Linked DNA regions of Astyanax mexicanus. The protein of the gene in region 1 purifies or fractionates together with the protein of each later gene. This does not show direct contact. Links are inferred from orthologs where the notes say so. Each region holds a gene or a part of one and is shown in the gene's direction. Other genes may lie near its edges.

What was found.
Region 2: the proteins of plrg1 (region 1) and xab2 purify together in Homo sapiens (affinity purification with mass spectrometry; 3 studies listed by BioGRID and IntAct, counting the BioPlex papers as one, with this or other methods). This does not show direct contact. The link is inferred for Astyanax mexicanus from reciprocal best matches to the Homo sapiens genes PLRG1 and XAB2.

What each region holds. Positions count from the first base shown.
Region 1 is NC_064432.1:13,738,396-13,745,405, reverse strand, and holds the start of plrg1 (pleiotropic regulator 1), read left to right. Parts: upstream 1-3,988; 5' UTR 3,989-4,143; coding exon 4,144-4,152; intron 4,153-5,750; coding exon 5,751-5,857; intron 5,858-6,810; coding exon 6,811-6,944; intron 6,945-7,010. Other genes in the region: mnd1 (meiotic nuclear division protein 1 homolog), read right to left, coding at 1,086-1,143, 1,365-1,430, 3,012-3,014. UniProt on the Homo sapiens protein: Involved in pre-mRNA splicing as component of the spliceosome. Component of the PRP19-CDC5L complex that forms an integral part of the spliceosome and is required for activating pre-mRNA splicing.
Region 2 is NC_064410.1:4,830,348-4,837,919, reverse strand, and holds the start of xab2 (pre-mRNA-splicing factor SYF1), read left to right. Parts: upstream 1-4,556; 5' UTR 4,557-4,696; coding exon 4,697-4,732; intron 4,733-5,597; coding exon 5,598-5,746; intron 5,747-5,863; coding exon 5,864-5,987; intron 5,988-7,077; coding exon 7,078-7,275; intron 7,276-7,572. Other genes in the region: uncharacterized protein LOC103046674, read left to right, coding at 991-1,265, 2,632-2,673, 2,784-3,176. UniProt on the Homo sapiens protein: Involved in pre-mRNA splicing as component of the spliceosome. Involved in transcription-coupled repair (TCR), transcription and pre-mRNA splicing.

The sequences.
Region 1 (7,010 bases):
TGACGAGTAAAATCCATACAAAAGGCGCACCGTATTATAAGACGCACTGTCAATTTTTGTGAAAATTAAAAGTTTTTAAGTGCGCCTTATAGTCCGAAAAATACGGTAATCAGACTACGAAGGAACACATAAGGAATCATGTAGTAACTTAAAAATAAAGTTAAATAAACCAAAATGTGAAGTATTTAGATGCTCTTATCTGGGGAGCTGTTTGTTAACTTGTGGTTTATGATGCTGGTAACTCTGATTAATTTATCCTCTATAACAGAGGAAACTCCTGATGAGTGCCAGTTTCATCAGTATAATGTTTTTGATGGTTTTTGTGGCGACTGCGCCTGAGTATACTTTCAAAGTTAATAAAATTCTTCTTTTCGGATTGACTGACCTTCATTTTTTCTTAAAGTATCTTTTTCTTTATTTAGTTGAGTAGTTGTTGCTTCTCATAATATGTATTAGAGTACTACCTCATAAAACTGACTGAGAAAATGCAGCAGAGTGCAAAACTGGTAATCTAAACAACAGGAGGAGCTACTTTAAAAATAAATACTAAATAATTCCATATGTTTTTTTATAGTTTGGATGAGTTTAGTATTAAAGCAGCACTAAGTAGGATTTTCTTGATTTTTTATCTTTTTAAAGAAGTAAAATTACAGTGTGAAACTCACTGCAGCGCTGCATTGAGGTGTAATAGGAGGAATAACGGTGCTCTCGTGTCTGTGCCGAAGCGCCTCTGAGCTCAAACCAGACTGTAAATTTTCTGAGGCGACCGCGAACAACGCTCGCAAGAACTGCGACCTGCTTTCCGACCTTTAGTTCTAACAGTTCTACAAGGACTACTGGTTCATTCTTTACAAACTAACATACAGACACTCTGGCAGAAGCTGGAAAGAGACCCAATATGTCTGTAAAAGCCAGAAAACAAGAAAGAGAAACTAATCCGCCTGAAACATTTATTACACTCTGCAACTGTAGGGGGAGCCCACGATCACAAAATCTCAATCCTACCTAGTGGAGCTTTAATCTACAATGCAGAACATTTTAAATAATGTAAAAAACATTTAATTATCATAAATGACACTACTTACTGATTCCTTTGGATTTGGGAGCAATTTTTTCAATGTCCTTCAGTTGAAAAACATCCTTCTGAAAAAATAATAATACAGTTTTAATCAGACAGTCACTGCAGTGGAAACCAGTTGGGGGCTTCTGTCTGCCTCCCAGAGCTGTAGAATTACAGTATGAGTCCTAACTAAAGCTGGAATTAAAAATCTCCAATAATTTAGTTATTTTTTAAAGAGAATACATCAGAAACACTGTAAATTTAACTGACAGTTTACTTAAAAAAACTAAATTAATTTACTTACTGTTTCAAAAAATATCTCCATCATACGAGACCTCTTCTCTTCCAAACTGAGTCCTTTCTTCTTCGACTGTTTCAGAGAGTAAAATTTTAGTAAAAACTGACATTATTAGGCAGATGACAACGCAATCTTAAAATCAACAAACACTAATAATTTTTATTATTTACATTGTGGCCAAAATAAAATTTCAAAAAGACTTAAAAATAAAAATCACCCAGAAGCTTCAGCCAGTATTTTCTTCCAGTAATGATTTCTTTTATGATATATTGTTTTAGGCTTTTATATGGTTTTAGGCAATTACGTGAATATTTTCTCCTTATTGATGTGTAAACTGCTCTTTTATTATTTTAAGATACTAAGTTATTACTTTGAGATACTATCTCACTATTTTGAGATGCTTCCCATTTTTAAGGGACTAATAATAATGAAATTTATAACGAAATAGCCTTTCAAAATAATGACTTTGTATGTCAAAAAAACAACTTACTTATTTCAAGATACTGTGTAATTTTGACATGCTATCTTGATATTTTGAGATACTAAGTCTTTATTTTGAGATATTAAATCTTTATTTTAAGATAGTAAATCTTTATTTTAAGATAGTAAATCTTTATTTTGAGATACTAAGTAATTATTCAGCGATACTAAATCTTTATTTTGAGATACTAAGTCTTTATTTTGAGATACTAAGTCTTTATTTTGAGATACTAAGTCTTTATTTTGAGGTACAAATTCTTTATTTTGAGGTACCAAGTCTTTATTTTGAGATACTAAGTCTTTATTTTGAGATACCAAGTCTTTATTTTCAGATACTAAGTCTTTATTTTGAGATACCAAGTCTTTATTTTGAGATACTAAGTCTTTATTTTGAGATACCAAGTCTTTATTTTGAGGTACCAAGTCTTTATTTTGAGGTACAAATTCTTTATTTTGAGATACTAAGCCTTTATTTTGAAATAAAGAAAGAAATAAAAACAGTATTATTGTGATTATTGTTTTACTGTTTGCTGTACTCTACTATCTCTGATATAAAATGATTAAGTTATTTAATTAATTTTAATGAAAAATGAAGACCGTGTTCCCGCCCGGTTTCGAACCGAGGACCTTTCGCGTGTTAGGCGAACGTGATAACCACTACACTACGGGAACTGATTACCACGTACAGACACTCCAGCCTTTAAACCGGTGGAGTAAAATAACATTTTATACGATTTATATATTTTAAATCACGTTATAAACACAGTAAAACACATAAAAACAAACTCACCTTTCACTGATTTTATCTGTTTAAACTAAAAGACTAAGACAAAACACCACAACCTGCAGTAACTAATAAACTAACGTTACACCAACAGCGGCTGTATTTAAGAGAACTCTGACTACAAATCCAGCAGATTAATAAAGTTTTTAAACTTTAATATAGATCGTTATTTATACTAAAGCGATGTGAGGCCTATGGTTTTCTCTTAGACTGTTAATTAACGCTGTTGATTTAGCTAAAGCTAAAAACAAACCCAAACAAACCACGCACCTAAAACTACCTAAAACTGTGTTTAATATCACACAATCCGCTCATTTTCACCTCCAGTAAAATGTTTTATTACTGTAAATCTATTAAAGTAGATATTAAACACAGTATTAAAGTCCTACCATTTTTAAATCACTCCTCTGACTGAAGCTCCTCTGATTCAGTTCTCAACCTGCTCCACATTTCCCGCCAACTGCCTTCATTCCTATACCGGAATCGGTTCTTTTCTTAGAATCATTCGAACCGAATCAGGTTCACAGGACACCATAGACTGTATATGCAGGACACAAACATTTCAGCCGGATTTTTGAATCGGTTCTTTTCAAAGAATCATTCGAACCAATTCAGTTTCACTTATGAACCTGAATTTATTATCTGCATGTACATGACACAAAAAAAATCTTCTGGATTTTTGAGTCAGGTTCAGGATTGAACCAGGGTGTATTATATACATATACAGGACACAAAAGATTGAACAGAATTGGTTATTTTTAAGTTTTATTATATACAGCTCTGGGAAAAATGAAGACACCACTTTAGTTTATGAATCAGTTTCTCTAAGTTAGCTATTTATAGGTTTATGTTTGAGTAAAATGAACATTGTTGTTTTATTCTATAAACTACGGACAACACGTCTCCCAAATTCCAAATAAAAATATTGTAATTTAGAGCATTTATTTGCAGAAAATGAGAAATGCCTGAAATAACAAAAAAGATGCGGAGCTTCAAATAATTTTAAATAATGCAAAGAAAACAAGTTCGTATTCATACATTTTAAGAATGCAGAAATCAATATTTGGTAGAATAACCCTGTTTTTAATCACAGTTTTCATGCATCTTGGCATCATGTTCTCTTCCACCAGTCTTACACACTGCTTTTGGATAACTTTGTCATCTTGTTGCACAATCCAACCAGTTCAGCTTGGTTTAATGGCTTGTGATCATCCATCTTCCTCTTGATTATTTTCCACAGGTTTTCAATTTGGTAAAATAAAAAAAATAATAATTTTTGAGTGGTCTCTTATTTTTATACAGAGCTGGAGGTTACAGTAGGGGGCAGCACTGAGTTTATACCGCCTCTCTCTCCGCGCTGCAGGCCGGAGTTTCCGCCGCCGTGTTTCCGGTGTGTGTGTGAGAGTGTGTGTGAGTGTTTAGCGCGGTGTGTTTAGTTTTATACAGGGAGTTTAAATCGAATTCTGATCCGGATTCAGCTTTAATTCAGAACTACTGACCCAGAGCAGCAAAAGCAGCAGCATGGCGGAGGTAAGGCGGTATTATTATTATTCACGGGACAGACCATAATACTCTCCTCTCTATTCACTACACCCAGTTCTACTCTCACCTCTTTAATAAAACACTTATTATTATATATAATTATTATAATACAGACCACAATACTCTCCTCTCTATTCACTACACCCTGCTTTACTCTCACCTCTTTAATAAAACACTGATTATTATACCGGTTATACAGTAATCTGTTACATAATCACACTTAAATAACCAACAGATCCCGTTATTAGTGTATTAATATTCACATTAATAACTCAACTAACTAACGTTCCTGTTTTTTAAGCTTAACACCAGCATTACATTCGCTTTATAACTAGAGAACACTAACTTACTCTAATTACCTTTATTCTCTGTTCACTGAGATATGTGTCTGATGTTGGCCCTTTAAACAGGTTCAGTATAGTTTTGTTCATTTTCTGAGGAGATCTATCTATTTAAAAAGAGACACAGCCACTGGGGGTTAATGTAGAGTAAATAAAGGATTAATCTGGTGTGAAATGGACTTGGGTTGTAGTGAAACATGATAATGATTATAAACTTTTGTAGAATACCCCACCTCTGTTCTTCCTTAGCATTCCCAAATACAGCACTTGCTGATGCTCCCAACAGGCTTACAAAATGCTAGAGATTAGGGCTGCAACTACTGACTACTTTAGTAGTCGAGTAATCTGCTGATTATTTGTTTGATTAGTTGATTAGTCACGATTATTTCTTGTCCTGCCCTCCATCTGTACTTCCTTCTAGTGAGAACAGCTAAACATTTAGTCCCCAAGACCAGCTTTGTCACTTATGTATTTTTTTTATTATTATTATTTTTTTTTTACTATTTTTCAAAGATATACCTCCCCAAAAAGATTTTGTCTCAGAAAATAAAGGTTTCTTTTTTATTAAAGTCTGTAGTTACTCTAATATATGACTTAATTTTAATGTAGTGTACAGAGGACATTATCTGTCTCTAACACTTATCCATGTTAATGAAGGAGTGAATCCTGTTTAAACTCTCCTCAGCAGTTCTCTGCAGTAATTTAACATTAACCACGGGTAATATAAAGCTCAGTGTTTAAACTGTACACAACCAGTAAAGACAGACTGTAGAGTTTTTTGTGGAGTTAAATGTGTTTAATGTTGTGTTTAATGGAGACAGAGCTGCTATTACACTGTATACTTGTCTCTCTCCTGCTCTCTCTCATGCTTTGCAAGTCCCACCCATACTGAAACCGCATTGGATAAATAAGCATGAGGAGAGGCCAATCAGAATACTCAGGATTTGTCACTCTTACTCAACAATGAGACTCTGCAACAACTACATTCTAGATAAATATGTTAAAGGGTTTAAAATGGCTCTCATTCTACTTTATTACAAGTAACTTAATTTATGGACTTATCTGATTGGATATTTTTGTATGTGTGGATTACTTGGATTGTTTCCAAAATCTGCTTGAAATTTCATGTCAGTCGCCCATCATCAAAACATTGATTCATTCAGTATTTTTTCTTGAGTTATATACTCTGCCTGTTATATAGCATCTGCCTTATTTGAATCAGTTTTGTGTCTGTTGTGTCTGCAGGAGGTGCAGAAGCACTCGGTCCACACTCTGCTCTTTAGATCTCTGAAGAGAACCCATGACATGTTCGTGTCTGATCACGCTAAACCAGTGTCCCTGGACGAGGAGAGGTGAGTCTCTGGCTTTAAAAACCTGAAAGATGAGCGTGGTCATTGGATCTATGGAATAAGGTCATGTGAAGGTCTGATGAGTCCAGATTTGCACTGTTCTGGAGTGATGGAGCATCAGGGTTAGAAGAACTAGAAGAAATCCAGAGTCTGATATTTACTCTCTCTAGCAAACTGAAGCATTTTTAGATGAAAAATGATTTTTTTTTTTTTATGGCTGTGTGAACGTGCCAAATCAGCCTTTTTTTAAATTAGATTTGAGTCACTTTCATAACGGTCAAATCTGAATTTATGCGTCTTTTTGCTTTTACGCATTAGTATTAGCATTAGCCCTACATGCTTCTCTCTCGTACCCACACTGCATCTCTTGGTGCAGCTGTGCAGCTATAGCTGCAAAATCAGCAAAAGCAAACCTCCTGGCCTTTTTTCTCCTCCTGGACCTGAGCATGAACTTCAGACCAGCTGTTTCTCTCCACTCTCCAGTTAAAGATGCTCCACATATGATCTGCTAACTCATCCATTTCCCTTTATAAAGCTACTAGTTTCTTGTCTCTCTAATATGAGGGTTTTTTTGTTGTTGGTGAAGAAGGAGGCATTTATACAGGTATCAGTGTGCAGCATGTGAGGCGTTTCTGGTACAGATTTGTTCACATTACACACAGATACAGATCACTTACATTTACAGTGAATGTGAACCATCAGGATAAACAAATCTGATCTGAGCAAAAAAAAATCTGATTTAAGCAACATGGCTTATAATGTGAACGTAGCCTAGGATGTTTTCCCTGCTTGATGCACGCCAATAATTTGACACGATCGCGGTCTATGTCTTTCCAAGTATATGTCTTTTAGAATAGCTGTATTTGCACATTAATGAGTTTACAAATGTTTATATAGAATTTTTTTCAGTGTATTTTCAATGTATTAATTATGGACCTGTGAACTTGTTTCCTCAGTCACAAGATAAAGATGGCTGCTAAGCTAAGAGCTGAGTATGGACCAGTGTTACACATGCCCGTGCTGAAAGAAGTCCGGGGAAAACCTCTTAACTCCTCTGATCCATTGGACAACCTGGGATACCCAGCAATCGGTGAGTGAGTTTTTTTTAGAGACACAGGAATGCACAAACATAAGATGAAAATTAAGTGTGCAACAG
Region 2 (7,572 bases), on another chromosome or scaffold:
CCATTCTGCTTCTAGAGGTAATCACGACATAAAGGTATATCTGGAGATATTTCTCAAGAGCTTTATTGGAGACAGGGTTTGTACGGTCACGAAAAAACTGGAAAAGTCATGGAATTTGAAAATAGCAATTTCCAGGCCTGGATAAGTTTTGGAAAAATAAAAATACCTAGAAAATTTTAGAAAAGTCTAGAAATTGGTCTACAAATCTTTGTGTTTCCGTTTATCGATGGAGAAAATCTATTTTAAGCTAACAAGAACGTCAGCTTAGAATTAATTCAGTAATTTAGCCCTATACTATAGAGCTCTCAGGATCTGAAACCCATTTTATTATTAAAGTTTGTGTGTCAGATTCATTTTAGGCCTACTATAATCCATTTAAATTATACTTTTAGTTGATTTTTGGTTTTATTGTCCATGTCTGCACTGATTTTTTAAAAATCGTATGGTCATGAGAATTTGCCTTTAAGGCATGGAAAAGTCAGGAAAAAAAAGAATGGAAATTTATTGGTTAAAATGTGTATAAACCATGTGGATAGGTTTATCTAGAATGTGTATAATGTATATGTGTGTATATGTGTGTATATATATGTACATGTATATGTGTGTATAATGTATATATGTGTATAAACCATGTGGATAGTTTATATTGCGTTTATTTAAAAATCGTATGGTCATGAAAATTTGCCTTTAAGGCATGGAAAAGTCATGAAAAAAAAAATTTAAATTTATTGGTTAAAATGTGTATAAACCATGTGGATGGGTTTATCTAGAGTCACCTTCTTGAACTGTGTGAAGAGTCTGGAGAATATGAAAGTGCTTTTAGGAGTGATGAATCACTGGGTATCACTTTTTCTCATCCCATAGTGACAAATCCAGAATCTACCTGTTAAACTTGGTGGAGGTGGAATAATAGGTCATGGCTCTTTTTCATGGATAATGAAGAGATAATGAAACTTGTTGTCATTATCTCCTTTCCTGATATTTTTACAGCACTAAACACAGAACAGTTCTTCACCCTTGTGGCCAACTCTCAGAGCAAACGAATGGATGACCAGAGAACTACAATGCCAGAAGTCAGAACGGAGAAACCATTCGTTCCACAGATCATCCTGACCCCGGAGTCGCCTGCACCCAGGAGAGCTTCCTCCAGACCCACGTCCCTCACACAGGATCCAGACCTGCTCACCAAGCCTCCACCAAGATCTGCCACTTTCAGCCCCGTCTCAGAGAAAGAGAGGACTCAGTATGATAATGTTTCCACCAAGGTGAGTAACATTATCTATACTACCTGGTAGTATAGTGGGGGCCTACAACCCCCCACTCTTAAACATTGCTTAGCATCATATCATACAATCTGCATACCTTTTTGCACATTGTAGTACAAAGTTTTGTTCTAAATTAATTCATCTACTGGATTTGTTTCCAAAATTAGTATTTTTTTGTTATCATAAGGATGTCTGTGTGTACTGGGAGTACAGCATAGAAGGCATTACCACCCACAGCGGACAGGGCAGTGGGTGTTAATGATAGACTGTCTAAAATTACAGCACCAGGTACAGTACTGTGGAGAAAATATGTATTTAATACCCTACAAATTTTGCAAGTTTTCTCACCTACAAACAAATTGAGAGGTCTGTAATTTTTATTGTAGGTACACTTTAACTATTAGAGACAGAATAAAAAATAAAAGAATAAAAAAATCACAATGTATGATTTTTAAATAAATAATCAACATTTTATTACATGAAATACGTTTATGATCACCTTCCAACCAGCAAGATAATAAAGCATGGGGGTGGAAACATTTTACTTTGCTGGTGCTTTCCAGCAAATGGGAAGGGACTGTAACATTTTGAAGGAAGGATGGATGGGGTCATGTATCACAAGATTTTAGCCAAAAACTTCTTTCCCTCAGTAAAAGCACTGACGATGGGTTGAGTCTGGGTCTTCCAGCATGACAATGACCCAAAACACATAGATACAAAAATTAAAGTGGATTTTAAGAAGGAAGAAGCATTTCAAGTTCCAAGAGTGGCCTAGCCAGTCTTCACACCTGAAACCAATAGAAAATCTTGTGATGGAGCCGAAACAGAGTGTTGCCAAGCAACAGACCTGAAATCTGAAAGATCTGGAGAAGATCTGTATGGAGGAAGAGTGGGCCAAAATCCCTGCTGCAGTGTGTGCAGACTCGGTCAAGAACTACAGCAAATGTCAGATTTTTTATTGCAAACAAAGGTTTCTGTATCAAATAATAAGTTATGTTTTTTATTGTATCAAATACTTATTTCATACAATTTAAGTGTACCTGAGATAAAAATTACAGATCTCTTCATTCTTTGTAGTTGGGAAAACTGTCTGAATTGCAAAATCGGCAGTGTATCAAATACTTATTTTCCCCACTTTATGTCTGTTTTGAGCCCTTAATAATAAAATAATAAAATTCCATTAGCTACTATTGGAACATGCAGAGCATGGCCAGGGAACAAGATACTAGTTCCTGTCCAAGACATTTGGCCTGTCAGTGTTGTACACTTGTTAAATATAAAGCAAACAAGCTATTTAGTGGCTTTTTGCTATAGCTTTGAGGTTAAAGATCAGTTTAATCACCATAATCTCCCTTCTTTATTGCAGCTTACCTTCAAAGTGTCCGTATGCCTCACTGCTCCCAAACAGGTGAGTGGACTGTAGGAATTGTGGACCAGTATTTATATCCGTTTTTTATGTGCATACCTGTCGATTCCAACACACATTTCTCTTTGCACTTTTCCCTGTCTTTCTCTCAGCAGAGTAACTCAGACGGTCAGCAGAGTTCTTCCCCAGACGTGTTCCTGACGATTGGAACACCAGCAGGGAAAAATTTTCTCCTTCCACTCACTCCTATGGTTTGCGGACCCCCATCTCTTGAGACGACACCCCGGCCCAGGAGACACCGCTCCAGGTCTTCCTCACCCTACCGAGCTCATGGACGAACGTCCCACCCCAGACCCTCCTCTCCTAGGCCTGCACCTCATCCTCCACCCATTGGAACTGATGAAGATTACTTCTCCCTCATTCACAGAGTCCACACAGCTCAGCTTCAGCAGGGAAACGCCGCAGAGAAGAGCCGGGAGCCAGGGAAGGGAAGAGAACGAGGGGATGGGAGGAGAGAGAGAAAGGATAGAGTGAAAAGAAAATAAGCATTATGAATGTACACTGAGCTCAGCTGCCAATTTATCAGAAACACATACTTTACTAAATTAAACCAAGGTTTAAAACTGTGTGAAATAAATGATTATGAAGGATTATCTCACTGTGTGATGATTGCATTTATTTGAGAGTTACATAAAAAATCTATGTGTCTGTGAACATTACACAGAAGCTCAATGGGATTTAGGTCAGGACTTTGACTGGGCCATTCTAACACATAAATATATTCCTTGATCTTAACCATTCCACTGTAGTTCTGGCTGTATGTTTAGGGTCTTGGTGAAAGATCAATCTTCACAGTTTTAAGTCTTTTGCAGCTTCCAACAGGTTTTTTCCAGGATTGCCCTGTATCTACCTTCTGCAACTAGAATTTAAATTGCAGGTCGACTTTGATATCAGTTCTCTTTTACCCTCGTGTGGTCATGCACACACAAACACACACACACACAGTTAAAGGTACGTTTCTTCTTTTCAAGCTATTTTCTCTATTAAAACTACCCTTAAAAATACCCTAAGATATACTACAATAAATCTACCTTGAGATATTACAATACAGCAAATCTACCCTGAGATACTATAATACAGCAAATCTACCCTGAGATATTATAATACAGTACGTCTACCCTGAGATATTATAATACAGCAAATCTACCCTGAGATATTATAATACAGCAAATCTACCCTGAGATACTATAATACAGCAAATCTACCCTGAGATACTATAATACAGCAAATCTACCCTGAGATACTATAATACAGCAAATCTACCCTGAGATATTACAATACAGTACGTCTACCCTGAGATATTATAATACAGCAAATCTACCCTGAGATATTATAATACAGTAAATCTACCCTGAATTATTATAATACAGTAAAACTACCCTGAAATATTAAAACACAGTAAAAAAAACTACAAACTAAAACAAAAATAGTATGCCAGATGTAAACCACACTTCACCATTATTACTGTCCCCTTCCCAAAAATACAGCTAATTACCAGAATTAAAAAAAAGGGAATCATGGTTTTATCCATGATTTAGTCACAAAATAGTGTTGTGATTAATACAATTATTTTTAAGGGATTGGCACCAATTATAAAAATCTGTTTATTTATTTTATTCACATTTAAATACCAATTATTCATATATTATTTATATATATATTTATATATATATATATAAATAAAGCTAAATAAGGAAAGATAAAGTGTGATTAATTGTGAGTTTTGTGTTCTACGCTGCTAATAAAAAATAAATTAATTTAAAAAAAGAAAGTGGTGAAGTTGGTTTTGCTGTTGCAGTTCCACCTTTAACCGGTGGGGGCAGTGTAATCCGCCAGCGCGGGCTCCAGTTCACCCGGCCCCAGCAGCGGGTGAAAGGTCGAGGGGGCGGAGCTAGTTAGCATTGCGTCCACAACACGTTCAGAGTAGCGGAGAAGCTAAAACGATTAAACAGTTTTATTTTACATTTATAGGTTTATAATTCAGTTCTTCTACCGGGAGAGGAACATGCCTACTTTTAACGGAAAACCGGACGTTACGTTTGTATGTATTTCTGTGTTTTTTATGGATAGAATATCACGGCTAGGCTACCAAGTATGGTATCTGTGGGAAGCTAACAGCTAATAATGGCTAACTTTCGTTACTATTTTAAAATCAGTTATTAAGATTTATTTAGGCAGAATTAGATAAATATGAAACATACACTGTAGTAGATAAATAGGACTGGCTGATACTTTTGCTGTGAGGACTGTTGTTTCTTTTTAGAACGTATTTTTGACACTTTTGTGGCTAACCCTAGCTAGTTAGCTATATTTACAAAACAGAGAAATCCGGTCTGAGATCAGTGTAATAAATTAGAAATGCATTTTGAATATTAGAGTTAACACTGGCTTTATAACCAGCTTGCTAGCTATATAAGCTGTTCTATAATGTCCCTATTCTTCATTTTGAGTTGGTATAATAGGATGAATTGTACTTTTTTTGTAATTAAAATTATTTGTAATTAAAATACATTCAAAGACATTCATAATACATAACTAAGGTGGACTATGAAGCTCTACAACGTAACTTATATTACATATGATTACTGCTACTGTTTCATTGGCTGGTTTATCATCTATTCTGATGAACAACAACAGGTCTCAATTAGTTTTCTGTCCATCAAAACATTAGAAAAAAGAAACTACATATGTTCTACACATGTTCATATTTATGTAATTGACGTATATTGTAATTGATGTAATTTAATTCAAGTATAATTGAATTTAATATACTTAAATTATGCATTACCTTGCTGTATCCAAGTCTTTAAAATGGTTCAATTCAAATGTATAAGTCTGAAGTTCTGAATTCTGCATTCTGCCCTGGTGTTTGTAAAGTTAACTAACTCCATAAATGAATCTCTCAGGAAGAAGATGACTTGCCCTATGAAGAGGAAATCATCAGGAATCCATATTCAGTCAAGTGTTGGATGCGCTACATTGAACACAAGCAAAGTGGCTCCAAGTCAGTGCTTAATATGATCTACGAGCGAGCGCTGAAGGAGCTACCTGGCAGGTAAATGCAGCTACTCCATTTAAAACCATTCATTGTATTTTGATGGGAAAAAAGTTAATGGTTGTTGTTTTATGTATGTAAAAAACAATGTATGTATTTGTTTTTCTTCAACTACAGTTACAAACTGTGGTACAACTATTTGAGGGAGCGGAGGAAGCAGGTCAAGGGAAAATGCGTAACAGATCCCGCTTATGAGGAAATCAACAACTGCCATGAGAGAGCACTGGTGTTTATGCACAAGGTAAAATTACTAGTATCCTATTCTGGAGTTACAACAAATTACTTTTCATGTGATTTCACAGTTGCTTGTTTTAATGTTTTACTGGGAAGGACAATATTTTTTGTCTTCTTTTTCCACAATGCTTTTCTGGTCTATCACCAGCTCACATCATGTGATTTATATGTATACAAACGAATGCACTTTTAGTTGATTAGCTCAGTTGCCAGCTCTGTAGGTTTTAAAATGTTTTTTTTTTTTAATAATTCGATGTAAAATGAATGTGTAAAATGAAAATGATTAGATGAAAAATGTTAGCCTACTAATATGTATTTTTTATCAATCATCAAATAAGAGAGTGATTTAGTTAAATGAATGTATTTGTTGTAGCTGTTATAATGTATTTAATTTGTATATTTATTACAATTTAAAAGTAAGCATGTTAATGATAATGTTAATGATATCCCCCACAATTTTGGGCATTTTCTTGCTTTTTCTCACCAGATTCATTGTTTGTGCAGGAGGCAGAAATACACAGCATTCCTTAACATCAGACATTAATACCACCATAAATTAGTGTCTTCTAGGGGTGTCACGATTTCGATATTTTATCAAAATCGATCGAAATTATGACATGGTCTTGAGCCTCGAAGTAAAAAAGAGGATCGACGATCCCTCCCACAAATGCCGCAGCACGCTCAGCAAATGGCGCAGCGCACTGTAGCCCAGGGTTTTTCAACAGAGAGAGAGCGACTGCTTGAGCGCAGCCCCACCCTCCGACAAAAAGTTCCGTTGTGTGTGAGAGAGACACACACACACACACACACACACACACACACGAGCCTCTCACACGCAGAACAGCTGCCTTTCAACCGCAGAGGAGAAGCTGAAAACGGATTTATAGAACTAAAGAAATAAAGAAAATCGTAAAAAGTAAAAAAAAAAAAAAAAAAGAAAATCAAGAATCAAATCGTGACCCTAAAATCGGAAATAAAATCGAATCGAGGATTTAGAGAATCGTGACACCCCTAGTGTCTTCTGTCCTGTGATTTCTAAAAGTTTTGAACTAATAATAGATTTTGCACTTCATGCTTCTTCTTCTTTTTTTTTCCAGATGCCGAGGATATGGCTGGATTACTGTCAGTTCATTGTGTCTCAGTGCAAAATCACAAGGAGCCGTCGTACCTTCGACCGAGCGCTCAGAGCCCTACCCATCACTCAGCATTCCCGAATCTGGCCTCTGTACCTCAAGTTTGCACGAAACTTACCTCTGCCTGAGACCGCCATTCGCGTTTATCGTAGATACCTCAAGGTAAGAAGGTGTAATTGTAGAGCAGTGACTCCAACTTGTTATTGAACCCTACTGAATATACAGAGCATAATACTGTACAATTGCCGTATTTCTTGCACTATAAGGCGCACTTCAAATCTTTTAGTTTTCCCAAAAATCTTCAGTGTGGCTTATGTATGAATTTTACCAGTCAGGTATTAAGGAGCAGTAAATCCATTTTGCTGATGGATTGTACAGTGTTGTAAAGGTGTTTCAGTTTAGTTCCTTAGCAGAGCAACTGGAACAGAATTAGCATTAGCTGCTATCTCTCTTCGTCAT